3 linked regions of the Coturnix japonica genome follow. The protein of the gene in region 1 purifies or fractionates together with the protein of each later gene. This does not show direct contact. Links are inferred from orthologs where the notes say so. Each region holds a gene or a part of one and is shown in the gene's direction. Other genes may lie near its edges.

Region 1 (5,836 bases):
AACTAGTAGCATGTATCAAGGACAGTTTGTCGGGTTTGCAAGTGGAGGAGGCCTATCCAGACTGGATTGTTTGCGTTAGTGATAATGTTCCTGGGGCAAGTGAGGTGAGTGCTGTGTGTCAGTTGCAGCAGTTTTTGTAGGCAGTTGGAAATTGTCCCTTTTGGTGTGGGACAAAACAAGTCTGCATAGGTGATTCTTGGCAGGGGGGGTTACTGTTTCTGTTGTTGTCCTGTACATGAGGAGACTACAGTGTTCCTTTTGAAGAAGATGAAGAAGAATCCAGAGGGAAACACTGTACAACTGTGTTTCTTTCGAAGCATGTTACTATGGAGTATATAGTACAAATGCTTCCTGTCACTTCTGATCTGAATGTGTTTGTATGTGTGTGTCTGCCTCTTAAGCATATTGTTGTGAGCTATATGAGTGAGCAGGAATTATTAGCTGTCTCCTTCTTGCAAGTTATGTGCAGACCTTCAAAAGATCAGGAGTTAGGAGGCACTGCACCTCTAAGAGACCTAATGTGAGTGAGATGGCCAGAAGTTATTGGCAGGCAGAACATGCTGTGCTGATGCTTTGCAGGGAAAACCAGTTTAGCTTTGAGTAGAATGGCCAAGTAAAGTGATACACTCAGCCTGGGGAGCTCACTTCAGCTCACCTCCATGTCTCCAGCTGGCAGGAAATGCCAGAATGACTTCTAAGCAGCATGTTTTTAGAAAGCCTTAAACTGTCTGTCCCTCCTCGCGTGCTTGTACCGTGTTAATATCTGTCTGTTTATTCCTTTTAATATGTTCTGGACAATGCCTGCTGTCATTACCACATAGCCTGGATTTAAAGTGTTGTTTTGTTTGTGTTACCATCTCACTTTACTCGGAAGTGTTTGCTTCATCCAATCTAACCCCTGTGAAGGCTTCACACATAAGAAAGTCTCCTGCTCTGTGAGCACTCAGGCTAACAGATGTGCCCTCCCACTTGTGTTCTTGTATCTAAGCTGGTGGCAGGAGGTTTAGTGGAGGACCTTCAGCTCTGGAATTTGTTCCCTTTGTTAGTCCAATACCATCAGTCTGCTGATGTTTTTTTTTGTTAGTGTAAAAGGGCGCTTGTTTGTTCAGACTTATCAGAAGCAGTTGGATTTTGACATTATACTGTGTCTAGAGATTTTTCTCTGAAATCATTTATCAAACCATGCAAGTGGTATCAGCTGTATATTGCTATAGTAACAAGGCATGATATATCAAGATCAGTATGAAGGTGATACAGTTTGACACTAAGGACTTATGTTGGCTTTATGTCAGACAAGTGATGTAAAAGATAATCTATCTTCTATGATTCCTTTAGTTGTCTGCTGTTGGTTTATTCTCTAAATAAAATAGACGTCAACAGTCTGTGATTCTTGTTTTGAAACTTCTGTTATTACAGGTGGTATTTTAAGTGGTGTTTGTTTTTGGTTGATTTTCTTCATTACAGTTGTAATGGATATATGTGCAGGAGGGAAGATTTCAGGTTTTCTGAGCTCTTGGTGTAGTTGTCATAAAAAATCCACACTTGGTGAGATTGATACTGGTTCATTTGATTGAAATTGATATGAGCACGTCAAATTGCAGCGAAATTCTAGTCTTTCAGGTATTAATAATGAACCTCTCAAGCCAGTAGGAAATACGATTTCGAACTTGAAACTCTGGTGCCACCTGTGTTTGGGGGAAAAAAGAAATCTTGAAAATCCTTTCAGTATTTTGTTTCAGTTTTTGATGTGTAACTTCTTTCTTCAAAGATTTCGTAAAATGAACAAGCGTCTGGTTCCAAGAAGACCTCTGAGTGCCTCCCTGGGCCAACTGAATGAGGTGGGCCTGCCTTCAGGAGCTATCCTCTCGGATGAAGGGGGAGTGGACTTGCCCAATAGGAAAACCTCTGCTCTGCCAAATGGAATTGTGTCAACAGGCAGCACAGTGACACAACTTATTCCTCGAGGGACGACTGACTCCAGTTACGAAGCTGCTCTGAAACCAGGGAAGATGGACCATCTGAGTAGCAGTGCCCCTGGATCCCCTCCTGACTTGTACGGGTCTTCTTAACTGTTGTTCAAAGTGTCCTGTCTAAACATGCAGTAGAGACCAAAGTAAACCCACTCTCTAGAAAAGAAGCAGAATGGTTTGCTTGTTTGTTTTGTGGTGGTAGAGTGCAGTAGAAAACTATAGCTAAAATAATGAATTGCTTTACATCTCTGATTGCTTATATTTTAATTGGAGGAGATGATGCAAGTCTTCAGAAGATGGAATATAGACAGAGTACCTGTGAACTGTATCAGCTTTTAATAGGCAATGTCACCTTTCTACTTCTTAGGCTGGAACCTGTCTCCAAGAGCTCTATTTCTGCCTTACCAGTGAACCCTCATCCTGTGCCTGCTCGGGCACCAACAGATCTGCCTTCAGTGTCTGTCACAAAACAGTTGCAAATGGTACCTCGTGGATCTCAGTTGTATAATACTCAGCAAGCAGATATCTTTTATCAAGATCATAGGGGAGCTGCCCCACCATTTGAGCCAGCACCCTACCAGCAAGGTACGTTTGTGACCAAGCTCTCTATCTTCTGATTTACATATCAGTTTTATTCTTTCTTCCCACTTTGGTGTTTATTTATGTTTCAAATTAGTTTTTTTTTGCATATCACATAGAATTCAGGCATTAATGTGGTTATGGTATAGTACAGTGGAAATAGATGCGTCAAGATGCTGTACAGGTGTATAAATGCAGTTGGTGAGTTACCTCCTGCAAGACTTCATAAGTCTTGATTGAGGAGCTTTAGATGTTTTTGTCCACTGTAGTAAGTCCCTCTTTCTTCAGTTTTTCCAAACAGTTGGCCAGGTCAGTAAATTAATGTGGTAGCCCTGAATTCTATTTGATACAGGGAAAATGGAAAGTAATGTTTAAACAGCAGAGGGGTTTATTCCTGAGGGATAAAATAAAATACTTCAATGCAAGCTGTGTTAATATTTCAGAAATGTATGCGTATGCATATGATGGGTAGAAATGAGTGAAATTAGACAACAGCTGGGCAAAAAAAAAAAACAATAGTAAAAAAAAAAAATGGGAATAATGGGAAAGGAAAAGTAAAGGAAATGGAAGAGTTATATGTGTAAAGAGACCAAATGGAAAAAGAAAATATTGAAGGATATTTACAAAAAATAAACCCACAAACCTACGGCTATAGCAAGATGAGGAATCAGTCTTGTCATGGAAGAAGAAATTGAAGAGAGAACTGGAATAAAGTGAAAATAATGTCATAGAAAAAGAAAGAATGTGACTAATGGAAGTGGAAAGAAGCTCTAGGAAGGAGTGGAGGGAAGCATTTGGGGGAATAGGAAGCTTGTATTTGATTTTTGCATGCCAATGCATGACAAAGTTGAATGTGCTCAGTTAGTGATGTGTCCCCTGTCCATATGCATTTGTAAATTATCCAGGAATCTCAGATCAATTACCTGAAACATTCAGGTAACTAACAGATGTAATTTTAAGAGGTCTTTGGTGGTTCACAGTACTGAAATTTGCTTCTGTTTCTCAAGAGGTAGAGCAAATATTTGAATAATTAACTTTAAAAACCTCATTAATCCCTGTTTATGCAGGCAATGACTGATGTGTTGGGGCAAACTGAGTTTTTAGTTGCACAGATAGAGGCATACAAAATGATCTTCCTTTTGCTTTTAGCTCTCTATATAAAAACATTCAGGTAAATAGAGAGACATCCTAGTGAATTAATTCTGGTTAGTACACTGTGGAACCTGTGGTGGGCTCGATCTCACTGCCTTTTCTTCAGCTACAGTAATCTTTACATCTTGCTGTCACTTGTGCTTTGGATCAGCTCCTGCTTCTCTAGGGTTTTCTGAAGTGGTTAATTCTTGAGTAGAAATACCTGTTAGACAGTGGTGGCAAACAGTAAATGCGTATTAATTTATATCACTGTTCATGATACTTGTAAACTGCAGTGTTTGAATCAACCCACTTTTATGAACAACTGTAATAATTTCATTCTCTACCTTGTTTGTCTTTTTCTTGCCTAAATTCAGGAGTTTACTATCCTCAAACCATGTCTCGCTTTGTGCGACCTCCTCCATCAGCTCCAGAACCTGGTCCACCTTATTTAGACCATTACGCTCCCTACCTTCAGGATCGTGTGGTGAGCCCCCAGTACACACAGCCTCAGCAATATCCTCCGATGGGACAACCCATATATCCCCCGCACTACGACAGCCGCCGTGTGTACCCCCCTGTCCAGCCATATCAGCGAGAGGAGATGGTCCGAGGAAGCCCTGTACCCATTGAAATTCCACAAGCAGCTGTACCCTCCTACGTACCTGAATCCAGGGACAGATACCCACAAACAGAGAGTTATTGCCCAGTGGCTCCCCATCTCAGTCAGATCAGACCTTCCTGCCACCGGGTATGGTATTCCTAATGTGTTTTTGAAGTTGTTCCCAGAGAGAAAATACAAACTAGTTGAGAAATTGATTATTTTTTTTTTCCAAGTAAGGTTGTGGTTTATGTGAGGAATTTAAAATAATAATAATAATTAAAAATAAATTGGAGAATTTGGTGTGAAGCTGATGAAAAAACCAGAAGGCAGTTTATTATCGGCCAGCTTGGTGATTGTAATGATGTTAGTGTGTAAAAAGCAGCTTACTGTTTAGAGCTTGAGGAACGTAAGTATTGTGATTATCCATTTCTTTTAACATAGAGCTGCCTTCTCTTGCTTGGATAAAACAGCATTTTCTAAATTAGTGATTTAGCATGTTGGTAATGCTTCAGAAGTTTTGTAATGTATTCCTGTCTTAATTTCAGCCTCACCCCAGCCTGGATGAACTTCACCGACGAAGGAAAGAGATCATGGCACAGTTAGAGGAGAGGAAGGTTATTTCCCCACCTCCTTTTGCACCTTCTCCAACCTTGCCTCATCCTTTTCATTCAGAGGAGGTAAGAATATTTTTACTTGTGAATATGATTAGAAAATGTTCTGATGTTTTTTTCGTGTGAGCTGACAAGTGACAGTAACAAGAAAACTAGTACAATACCATGTTGAAAAATGTTGTGGAGAGAGTATCTTGTATTGCAGGTGGGAAACCCTTGTAATATGATCTCTGGAATGACTGGCTATTCTGTGATCTACCACTGATCTGTAATGGTCAGCTGTAGGTGGCACCAAGAGAATTAAATCAAGCTATTATTAATTGAAGTAGTCAGACTTCACAGTCACTAAACTTGGCTTTGTTCATTCCCAACAAGTTTAGAGTTACCTAGCAGTTTGGGGCTTTTTTTGGTATCATTTGTTTTTTTAAACCAAGGTTAAAATATATCACTCTCGTACTGAGCAAGTGAACAGTTGGTGCTGGAATTGTTACCAGCCAATCAAGATTTGATATGTCTTCTGCCTTTTGTGGCCCAACTCCAAATGCATTCAATTAAAAAAAATAATAATACAAAAAATCTGATGGTGTTTTTTAAGTTCACTGCTGTTGAGCTAATCAGCTGTGGCTGTGAAGCTGCATCTTCTCCTTACTGACAGAACCAGATCTTTGTTTTTGTACAGTACTTAGATGAAGACCTGAAGGTAGCTGGGAAATACAAAGGAAATGACTACAGCCAGTACTCTCCCTGGTCCTGTGACACCATCGGCTCCTACATTGGAACCAAAGATGCAAAACCCAAAGATGTCGTGGCAGCAAGGAGTGTGGAGATGGCGGTATGTAAAGATTAGGGGAACACCAAAGAAAAGCTAATGCTTCTCTAGGCTGGGAAGGACTCTTTGCTCTCCAGGTTGATGTCGGTACTTGTGGAGGACTTTTAAGCTC
Region 2 (5,387 bases), about 21 Mb from region 1:
CTGTTGTGCCCACTGCCCCAGCCCTTGTGAGGGGAAATGCCTCATTTCTTCCCTTTTCCTCCTCCCATGTGCTGAGGACGGAGCACGGCAGAGCCCACTGAGCGTGGCTGGATGCTGCAGAGCGGTTTGCTAAGGGCAGAGCTCAGGACCAACCCTCTGCTTCCTCCGTCAGCTGGAAATACCGGCTGTGCCAGGGCTGGGCAGGAGCAGCACCCACCCTGCGAGCTGCTGGGGATGCAGGGGAAGGAGGAACAGGCTCCATGAGTCCGGGTTACCTGATGTTCTGCGGCCGCACGCTTTGCTTCACTTCTCTGCTGCACATCTCCACGTGCAGAGCGGGGCTGTGCTGCTCTGCTTCCCGATGCACGTGCCTCGTGAGGAAGCAGTGCTGTTCATGTGTTTACAGTGAAGAGTGAGCAGGTTTTCCTGCTCTGCAGACCCCATGCTGCAATGACAGGGTACACAGGAGCCCTGCAGGACGTCTGCCTGCTGCTGTGCCCCACTGCCAGCCCTGCTGTGCAGTGCACAGAGCTCAGCACAAAGCACGCTGTGTTCCGTGCATTCCCTGCATCTCACTGCAGCCCTGAGCGCTGCTCTGAGTGCCGCCTCCGTGCAGCACGTCGGGAATGCAGTGAGAACGGTGCCAGGGAATGGGCACAAAGTTGCAGCAGCAGCTTTGCAGGATGCCGTGTGAGGTGACACACGGAGCTTTGCTGCTCCAAAGCCACGGCTGAGCTTCGTTCACAATGTTCTCCGTGCAGTCAGTCAGTGCGGCCTCACGGAGCACCGAGCAGCTCCTGGTGGGGCTGCAGGGACAGGGAGGGGACACAGCGGGAGGGAACAGCGCTGTGCAACGTGAGGGTTATTTAGTTCAAAGTAAGGAAACTACAGCGGAGGGGCGGAGTGAGGGCACAGCACGGCCCCGCCACGGCCCCACCACGACCGGAGCCGGCCCGTTCCCTCTTCTTGCTCAGCACCCCGCCAGCAGCCGGCAGTGCTCACACACAGCACTGAGGGCAGCAGGCGGCCATCCACCCCCACAGCCGGTCCCGCACTGTGTATCCCCACAGCCGGTCCCACACTGTATCCCCACAGCCGGTCCCGCACTGTGTATCCCCACAGCCGGTCCCACACTCTGTATCCGCCCGTCCCGTCCGTGTGGAGCCGTGTCGCTTTTCCCGCCCATTCCCGCTCCTCACTCCGCGTTCCCGCCCACGCCGCCGCCATGACACCCCGCCCCGCCCGCGGCCCGGCACAATGGCGGCGCGGTGCACGCCGGGAGTTGTAGTTCGCCGCCCACGCGCGCGCGGAGTTGGGCGCGAGCCGCCTCCAAATCCCGGCGCGCCCCGCGCGGGGGTGAGGTGCCCGGATGTGGCCGGCGCCGGAAGAGAAGCGGGTCTGTTCTCGGCCGGCCATCTTGTGCGGCAGGCAGCAGGGCGCGGGGGGCCCGGCAGCATCGGAGCAGGATCCCGCCGACGGGGGCCCATCATGCCCGGACACCTGCAGGAGGGCTTCGGCTGCGTCGTCACCAACCGCTTCGACCAGCTTTTCGATGACGAGTCCGACCCCTTCGAGGTGCTGCGGGCGGCCGAGACTCGGCGGAAAGAGAGCGGCGGCGGCGGCGGGGCCCAGGGGGGCGGCGGGGCCCGGGGCGGCTCGGGCGGAGCGCAGAGCAACAGCGCGGGAGGAGCCGGCGGCGGAACGGCGGGACAGGCCGCGACGGGCGGAGCGGGGAGCGCGGCCAAACAGCTGCGCAGGGAGTCCCAGAAGGAGCGGAAGAACCCGCTGCCGCCATTCGCCGCGTCCGCCGGGGGAGAGCGACGGGAGGACGGCGGCGGGCAGAGCGGAGCGGCGCTGCGCAAGGACGGTGAGAGCCGGGAAACCGCCAACGGGCACAAAGGGGGCGGCGGGAAGCGGCGGGTACGGCCGGGAGGGAGAGAGGGACGGACGGAGAGCGGGGAGGGGAACGGGAGGACGGCGACGGGGGGAGCCGGGCAGCGGGGAGCGGCACCGCCGTGCGCACGTGGCGGGAGCGGGGCCGCGTGGCGCGGGGGGGGGCGGCCCCGGGAGCACCGAGGAACCGCACGTGGCCGCGGCCCCAAAATGGAGGAACGCGTGGGGTGCAACGGGGGGGAGCGGGGAACGGAGCGGGGTAATGAGGGAACGCAGCGAGACGGGAACTCGGGAGCGAATCCGGGGAGCGGGGGGACGGGGGGGAACCGCGTTCAGCTCTAACAGGGCAGGTTTAATGCAGGTGCGCGGGGAAGTTCGTTCCCCAAAGGCAGCGCGGCCCCGGCACCGCTGCATAGAGCTGCTGTACGAATCCCGGAGCTGCACGAAGCCGCCGGTGGGTCCGAGCAGCCGGAGCTGGTGGGGGCTCTCAGCATTGGGGTGGGGGCCCTAACAGCTCCACACTGCTGGGACCCTGCGGTTCCGCCATGGGAGCAGCAGGAATTGGGGTATTGAATCGAATTGGGGTATTGAATCTAATTGGGGTAACCCCCACACGGAATCCAGGCAGCCGGGGGTGCAGGTGTGTGTCGCGCTCGGAGCAGAAGTCATTCACTCCTTGTTGTGCAGCGGTAAGAACTGAGTCAGTAGGAACAACGTGCACTGTGTTAATAACTCGCATCCTCCATCATGGCTGTGCGACCCCGGAGCCATCGCACCAGGAGGACTCGGGTGTTGTGGCTGTTGGAAATGCACACAGCCTCAACTAACAAGCTGTGGCACAGGGCTGTGTGAGCAGCAGTGGCTCTGTGCATGCAGGTGGCCGTGCAGCACCCCGTGTAGCTTGGGTTACACTGGGCTTTAAGAGAGAAATGAATATATGGTACTAGAAGGTGCTCCTGTTGGGTGTGAGAGAACACTGAGCAGCAGCTGGGGGCTGTTGTAGTGCTCTGCCTGTGGGTGTTTTGTGTTTCCCACTGTGATGCCAGGGATTATTGTCCTGAACGGTGGTTCCTGGAGTTCAGTCCCCCATGGGTGTGGGTCAGGTGTGGGCTGGCACTGGGAGCCCACGCAGTGACATGGGGGTGGGTGCTTCACCAGCACACAGGGTCTGGGTCCTTGGATGGCTCAGGGACGGTCACCTCTTGGTTCTCAAGTTGACTTTACAGAACGAGCAGTGCTTTGTTGTGGCAAGGAGTCTGCTGTGGATTATTATAGCAATGAAACAGGCGTCCTGGCCTGCTGCTGCAGCACTGCTCTGCAAGGTGCAGTTGTTTGATGTACTGTGGGATAATGCTGTACCTTGTCAGGTTCACTCCTGGGAGCCCCGTGCTGAGCACAGGGTGCTGCACTTGACATTGGATCGTACATTGCAGCCCTGCTGTGGGCCTCAGCGTGGCACGGCCGCTGTGCTGCGCCTCTACAAACATGTGGCTCTGCTGGGAATGAGTAGGGGCCGAGGCCGCTGTGTTCCTGCAGGGAGTGAGCAGTGTCTGTCATGCCAACGTGTGCTCAGCACCATGTGTCAGGTAAGGAGGCATTGTTAGGCTGGGCGTGTTGGCGTGGATATCATTACAGCTGGAACTTCTGGGCCCCACCCAGGTGCAGCGCTGCTTGTTCGGCAGGATCTGCTGTCTTTGGGAATATTCAAAACTGGCTTTTTTTTTCTTTCTCTTTTTTTAAGCAGCAGCCCTGTTTGGAGGCAGCCCTGGGGTGCTGCTTTGCTGAGGGCTTTGTTCCCTGCGTGTTTTGGAGGGATGGTGGTTTGTGTGACAGCACCCAGAGCAGTTTGTGCGGCTCTTCCTAAAAAGTAGTAAAGATGGTTGGGAAAGTACTTAAGGCCCTTTAGATGTCATAGTGATGGGGAGTGGCTATTCCGGCCCGTTTCAGAAGGTGTGGAAATGGAGACAGGAGCTGGGTCCATTGCAGCAGTGCAGCTCTGGGGCTGTGAGCAGCACTCTGCTGCCTGAGCCTTTGTCCGCCAGCACGCGGGGCTGTGAGCAGCAGCGCTCGAGTCATTGCGAGGCACTGAGCTGTGCCTGCTGAGCTGCCTGCTTCATGGGGGGGGGGGGGGTGCCACGGGGCTGGGGGGAGGTGGCCCCCTGGGCAGCACAGCCCCCGGTGCTTCCTCTGGTTCCATGCTTGCAGGCAGAGCGCAGTCGGATGAAACAGGGTGGCTGTTGTGGGGGCTCGATTCTGGGGAAGCTGCTGGCCTTGTTTTGGTGCATATCAAATAGAAAGCACATGTTGTACCTGAAAAGTGCCCTTTGGAGAAAGAACACAAAACTTGCTTATCTTGATCCTTCTTTGAAAGCTGGATCGTTTGAACAGGGATCTGTGGTGGCTGTGTGCTCTGACAGGTCTTGTTCCCACAGTACTGTAGGAGCATATGCTTGGACTAAATGCAGGTTGATTGAAATGCTGCATTCAAACGTCAGTTGGAGTCAAATGATCCTCATAAAGGTATCGTTTCTAAGACCACATGGTCACAGGGTTAGAAGAAAAGCCTGAATTCCGGCTCATGTTCATCTTTGTATGACAGTGCTGCCTGCAGTATCTGTCCCGGTGCAGCTCTGCATTCCGTTGGTGTGTTTTGCTCCTGTTGCAGGGATAAGGCGCATTGGCAGGAGGCCTGATCAGCAGCAGCAGCAGCAGGGTGAAGGCAAACCCATTGACAGGAGACCTGAGAGACGACCTCCCCGTGAGCGCCGATTTGATAAACCTGCCGATGAGAAGGGCGAAGGAGGAGAATTCTCTGTTGATAAGTAAGAATTTGCCTTGCGTGATGTTGGACACAGTGATATTCTGGAGTGGAGCTGTCCTTTCTTCTGCTACTAAGCTTAAAAGCCAAGCAAAAACTGCTAGCATCAGAATTAAAGTGACTAAATTCCATTTGTTGGTCAAAAGAGGCACCTGTGTCAGCACAGAGTACTTTCCCATTGTGTGATTTCATTTAAGAGCATGGCTCAAGTTTTTAGCAGGAGTCGCATAATGTGAACGGTTCTGTTGGTCTGACAATAAGCACGGTGCAAATCAATAAGATACCTGGTGTATTTCTGAACATCCACAACACAGAGGTCAGAGGAGGAACTGAAGTGTGGCTGTTGCCTGCAGGATGAGATCCGTTTGCTGTTACAGCTGTTGCTTCACTTGTCCAGTTAACCTCAAGCCCATGTGGGCTTATCTGTGGAGCTGTTCACGCTTCCTTGGCTCCAGTGGCTTCAGGTGTGGAAGTAATGAAGGCAGCTCATGGCTAAAGGGGTCCAGAATTCAAGAGTTCTGAAAACAATTCTCCAGTGTTAGCGTGTGAATGATGGGTGTTGAAATGCTTTTAAAAGTAAGGTGGCTGGGAGGGAGATTGTACCATCAGTGAGTGACGTAGTGCAACACAGAGGCTAAATTTGGGAATGGTGGGCTGGAGATGCAAACAAAGCATT
Region 3 (5,494 bases), on another chromosome or scaffold:
CACAAACCTGCCTATTCATTGTGTTCTGCCTCCATTCGGGGCTGAGGATGGTGGTCTTATTACAGCAAAGCAAATGGAGCACTATAATTGTGTCCTGTGTGCACTCTGGCAATTCCTCTTCCTTCCACATCTGTGGCTGCATTGCCCAACTCCATCAGTGATGCTGAATGGGGCCAAAGAGCAACTACAATGTTTCTGGAGCAGGAGTTAAGGAACGTTCACTGCAGTGACTTGCCCGTGAATGCACAGATCCACAGTGATAAAGCATTTGGGGATTCTAAGTACATTTGTTTGTCTTGGTGCCCTCTTTCCAAATGTTCATGCCAATAGTGCTCCAGACACATGCTGCATGCTTATAGCTCTCTCTGGATATCAGCAGAAGCAATGGCCAGCTGGAAATTTAAATGGAGATGATGATGCTCATGGACTCGAAAAGAATCACAGCAACACTTGACTGCATGGGCCTACAACTGTAGGAACCCAGCATGTACAGCCTAATACATTCTCTTCATCAGCTTCAGAGATTACTTTGAAGCATTAAAGAGATGCATCACCACAGGTACCAACAGGACTTCAGTGAAATCTCAGTGCTATGTAACCAACTGAACTCCCAAATCAAACCCAACTGGTAACGAGTGTGTGCAGTAAGTGAAAGAAGACGACTATTCCTGGCGAAGTGTTACACGCCAGTTTTTTCTTTTCATTTTACAACTTCATCATTATTTCCTAACAAAACTAAAAAAGAACTACCATTAATGAAAGGAGAAGCCGCTTGGCAAATATCATTGGCCTCGATGTATAAACACTCGTGTACAGGCTCAGCATTGGTACTGTTCATTGTCTCATTGATTTCAAAGGGATTATTTGCATTATGAGCATTTTGTGCACCTGCATTTGCTGTACGTGATATCACCACATATTTTCACAGTGATAAACTAAAAACTCTGGTTGTATTATATAGGTAAGTCGTCCATTTTAATCATAATGCAGGCAGAAAAGCCTGTGCATCCACCGTGACCTCGCCAACACAGGAGATTCAGATTTTCACACAATTTCACTCATCAGGATGGCGGTTCCTGATCCAGACCTCTCTTAGGTCATCCTGCATCTCCAGAAGAATCACACACAGAATCACAGAATGACCCAGGTTGGAAGGGACATCAAGGATCATGTAGTTCCAACCCCCCTGCCTGGCAGGGCCACCAAACATACACCTTTACTAGATCAGGTTGCCCAGGGCCCCGTCCAACCTGGTCTTGAACACCTCCAAGGACGGGGCATCCACAACCTCCCTGGGCAGCCTGTTCCAGGGCCTAACCACTCTCCTAGTGAAGAACTTCCCCCTAACATCCAACCTAAATCTTCCCTCTTTTAACTTAAAACCATTTCCCCGTGTCCTGCTATTGTCAGAAGAACCAGGACACGTCTCCTCTGCCCTTGTTACTAGGCCGTACCAACAGGCCGTGTTGGTGCCAGGCTGGGTGTATGTCTGCGGGCCGATGTGGATGCGGGGCCGCCCCTGCCCTCACAAAATGGGCGCCGATCTCGGCAGCGGCGAAGCTCCGTGTTCCCGCCTGTTGCAGGCCCCGCGGAGCAGAGCGGCGCGGCAGCCCCGCGGCCTACGTGTCCCGCCGGCCCCAGGCGCAGGGCCGCGTCTCCCGCGGGAGGCGGAGGAAGCGCGGCGGATCGGGCCTCGTTTCTCCTTCCCCCTTCTCCTCCTCCCGTCCCCTGGATCCCTCGTCGCTCCTTATCGCCGGGCGGCACGTCGCTCTCCCCGCCCCTCAGCGCCGCAGCGGGCCGAGCGGCGGCGGCGGCGGGGTCACGGCGTCGGCCGGGTCAGAGGGTAAAGGTTGCTCCCCCAGCATCCTCCGTGCTGGATACTCAGCCATCTTGGATCCGCGGGACAAGAAAATTCATGCGGTGAGTCCGGCCCCGGCCGCCCCCCCCCGACCCCCCGCCGCCGCCCCGATCCCCGCCGCCGCCCTCCCGCGGCCCGATGAGGGGGGACCCGGCGTCGGCGCGGCCCTCGGCGGGGCTGTGCGGGCCCGGGGCCGTCCCGCCGGGTTTCCGTTTGCTTTTGTCTCCGAGGGGAGCGGGGGGGACGCGCGGCGCCCGAGCCCGGAGCGCAGCCGCAGGCCCGGCCCGGCCCGCCGCCCCCCGCCCTCCATAGCGACCGCGGCCGGCGGGGTCCGCCGGGAGCCGCTCCAGGCCCAGCCGAGCCCGAGGCCCGGCCGCGCTCGGGCCCCGCATCCCCCGCGGCCGTCGCTCTGCTGCCGCGGCCCGTTCGGGACGGCTCCCGCCCGCCGTCTCTCTCCCTTGCCGGGCTCGTCCGAGGGCCGCGCGGGCTCCGTTTCCACCCTGCGCCGCCGCCACCTCCCGCCGGGCCCGGCGTAGGGGTGGCCCGGCCTGTGCCGCCGGGTGCCGCCGGGCCCCGCTGCCGGGCGGCGCCGTGCTGCCGGGGCGGCCTCGCGGCCTACGGCGCCGGGCCTTCAACGAGTCCCCGGCTGAGGAACGGGGTGAGCCGGGGATACCGTCGGCCTGCTTCCTTTTACAAATTATATATATATATATTTCTTCTATTTATTTTATTATCATCATCATTATTATTATTATTATTATTTTTGCGCGTGTGTGCGCCTTTTACACCCTCCTCCTGGTGGCGGTTAAGGTGATGTGTAAACAGGTTTTGCTATTCCCTCAGATGTGTTGGTAAAACAAACTTGAAACGGAGTGATCCCATGCAAGAATTTGCCTGCGTGCACGGTGTGCTCAGTCGGGGTGGGGGGATGCAATGGGTCAGGGTGGTACCTGCAGTGTGAGGTGTAGGGCTGCAGCTGTGTCCCTGACAGAAGCAGGGGTTTGCCTGCATGTGCTGCCGGTTGGAATTTCTGTGTCGTTGGTGGTGGTTTCTTTGTTTTTAATTTGTTTTCTTCAATGAAGTTGCAGGTAACTTTGTTTTGGTGGTCGTCTAATGTGAGCTAGTGAAAACAAGCTGTTAGGTGTGGATCGGCTCTAAGTCTGTTTTATCAGAGAACTTGTTTCCAACTTTGCACAGCGTTATCCCTAGAAGATGATCATAACTGTCTGTGTCTCATTCTTTTTCATGCGTGTGTATATACATGTGACTCACATGGGTGAAGGCAGTGTTCCTGCTTCCCTACACACGGTATCCCTGTGGTGTTGGGGGCTCTGTCAAAGCCCCTTGGCCTGGGGAAGGGAGGTTGAGATGTTTAAACTGCTGTCACAGCACTCTGCGGGAATCCTCGCCTTTCTGGAAACTTGGATTTGTTTCAGGCTGTTAAAACTTGTAAAGACCTGCAAAAGCAGAGTAATTGTTTAGGTTTGCATTGCAAAGGCATCTCTACTTGGACCTGTACGGGTTGTTAGGTGTGCAATGGGGTACTTGGAGTTCTCTCTAGTGTAATGTGTCTTGCAGGGTCCAGTTTCTTAATCTTTAAGGCTGTGTTCAATACCTTGCTACTGTTGATGGTGAGAATTCATCTGGAGTGAAAAACTTCAAGGTGTTAACTGCTTCTAATCTTAGGAAGGGATTTGAATACTTGATACCAGGATCTGACCCACCTGACTTGCAAGTGTGTTTCTGTTTCACTTTCAGGAAGCTGTCTGTAAGAGTTTGTTAGCAGGTAAATCTGCTCTGTGCTTTTCTTCTAGAAAGGTAACATAACTCTCAGAATTATCGTTATTACTGTCACCCATCTGCGGGGCGATTCTACCAGCAGTGAAAGCAAAAGCCCTTGGTTAAGAGCTAGCAAGAAAACACCAACTACAAAATTTATTAAAGATGATTTGAGTCATCTTTAAAAGAGTCTAGCTGTAGGGAATTGGTTTTCACTGGGAAGAACAGAATGGTTAATGCGTTGTCCCCTGGCTGCATGATGGCACCTGGAAGCCTTGGTCTTCACGTCAGCCCTAAAAAGCTGGGCATATCTCTCAGGCAATGGTAGCTTTCATGAACTATTTTTGCTATATTTGCTGTGCTGTATTTCTGGCCAGACAGAAGTTGGAAACTTTCTTGCATTTTGAGGCTCCTTTGCGTGGTTTTTGTACTTCTGCACTGGCACAAGGGCCAGGCTGTGCTGTGAGCATTGCAGGATTTGTAACCTCACTGTGCTTCTCAACCAGTTGTGTGCCATAACAAGGAGTCGCAAAATATTTTCTAGCAGAGTTGTTAATGACTCTAGAAGTGGCATAATTTAAAGTACACTCTTAGTTAAAATAGGTGTTGTTTGTACCTGCCTTTTTGATGTGATCTGGAAACTTAAGGGAAGTGCTGACTTGCTTGCTTTGTTATGGGGCGCATAAGAAGTGCATATTAGCTCCCAATCTTGGTTCTCAGGTAGGTTCTTGTACTAACTTCTTTGGGGTTATCTCTTCCTGTGAAGCTATAATGTGGTTGAACACAGATTTCAAAGGCACTTAATATGAAAACAAGCAAACAAAAATCTTGTTCATATATAAATAGAAATATTCTCAATTTCTTGGCAGAATCCTTGCCGTATTTGTTGTATATTTCTGAACGTTATCTTACTGTTAGCAAACAGGCAGAAAGCTTCTATAGAAGCACAACACCATTACGTCAAAGAAGTATTTTGGGCTCCAATTTAAAGGATTACCCTCTAAATGATCATTTAAAAACTATTTTTATGATGATTGTAAATAATTTCTACACAAATGGCAGTGCTGCTTGACAAAGGGCAGGAGATGCAAGTTGGATTAACTTTGCCTCATCTGGGTTTATGAGGTGCAAGTAAGTAAATTTAAAAACCAAGTAAGTATGTAGCCATTCTTCTATGTAGCAGATCTTGAAGTTCATCCAGCTATCTCAACCTGTTTCACTTGTTCTTTCCCAAAAAGGGTTGATTGACTTTCTTTTTCTTTTCTTAGTTTGTTTTCTGTTGTGCTTCAGCATCTACGTTCTGTGTTTGTGTGTTGCATTGGTCTCCTGCCCTGGGTTCCTGTAAAAACATACGAACAACTGAAACTTTGTGGGTAGTCTCATTGACTTAAAAGCAGCCACTGGTGTGCTGACAGTTAACCTCTTACATCAGAGCTTTCAGGGTAGAGGCTGGGATGTTGACAACTCAATCTACTTTTATGGAACATTGTAACAGCGTGGAGAGGGTTGTGTCAAATGAAATTATTGCACAGTGGGATGTTTGAAGTTTTCCTTATGGAAATTTGTTTTTAGAGGTGTTTGTATTCCAACCGTATGTTTCCATGCTAATCAGTAAGAGATTTCTGTATAGGAGTTACAGTCTTTATGCTTTTATTTCAGCAATAACAAAAGACCATAAACTTTTCAGATTGCTTTTAGTTTGTGTTGTGTCTTTCATTTATACTGTTATGCTGGAAGTCGTATGGTGCTAGTTGGTAGTAGCTCAGAGCTGAGCTGCTTTGGGCCCCAAATTGAGATGGAGATGACCCCCACCCCAGAGGAGGTTACTGGGCCCCCCTGTGCTTCCCTCCCTCAATT

Evidence for each region. Proteins that work in one complex are often made in the same cells at the same time.
Region 2: the proteins of RC3H1 (region 1) and SERBP1 purify together in Homo sapiens (affinity purification with mass spectrometry, with the first as the bait; 3 studies listed by BioGRID). This does not show direct contact. The link is inferred for Coturnix japonica from reciprocal best matches to the Homo sapiens genes RC3H1 and SERBP1.
Region 3: the proteins of RC3H1 (region 1) and CNOT2 purify together in Homo sapiens (affinity purification with mass spectrometry, with the first as the bait; 3 studies listed by BioGRID). This does not show direct contact. The link is inferred for Coturnix japonica from reciprocal best matches to the Homo sapiens genes RC3H1 and CNOT2.

The regions. Positions count from the first base shown.
Region 1 is NC_029523.1:4,540,073-4,545,908, reverse strand, and holds part of RC3H1 (roquin-1), read left to right. Parts: intron 1-1,768; coding exon 1,769-2,053; intron 2,054-2,337; coding exon 2,338-2,555; intron 2,556-4,057; coding exon 4,058-4,431; intron 4,432-4,829; coding exon 4,830-4,961; intron 4,962-5,556; coding exon 5,557-5,727; intron 5,728-5,836. UniProt on the Homo sapiens protein: Post-transcriptional repressor of mRNAs containing a conserved stem loop motif, called constitutive decay element (CDE), which is often located in the 3'-UTR, as in HMGXB3, ICOS, IER3, NFKBID, NFKBIZ, PPP1R10, TNF, TNFRSF4 and in many more mRNAs.
Region 2 is NC_029523.1:25,842,761-25,848,147, reverse strand, and holds the start of SERBP1 (plasminogen activator inhibitor 1 RNA-binding protein), read left to right. Parts: upstream 1-1,363; 5' UTR 1,364-1,488; coding exon 1,489-1,867; intron 1,868-4,558; coding exon 4,559-4,715; intron 4,716-5,387. UniProt on the Homo sapiens protein: Ribosome-binding protein that promotes ribosome hibernation, a process during which ribosomes are stabilized in an inactive state and preserved from proteasomal degradation.
Region 3 is NC_029516.1:32,389,896-32,395,389, forward strand, and holds the start of CNOT2 (CCR4-NOT transcription complex subunit 2), read left to right. Parts: upstream 1-1,470; 5' UTR 1,471-1,485; coding exon 1,486-1,920; intron 1,921-5,494. UniProt on the Homo sapiens protein: Component of the CCR4-NOT complex which is one of the major cellular mRNA deadenylases and is linked to various cellular processes including bulk mRNA degradation, miRNA-mediated repression, translational repression during translational initiation and general transcription regulation.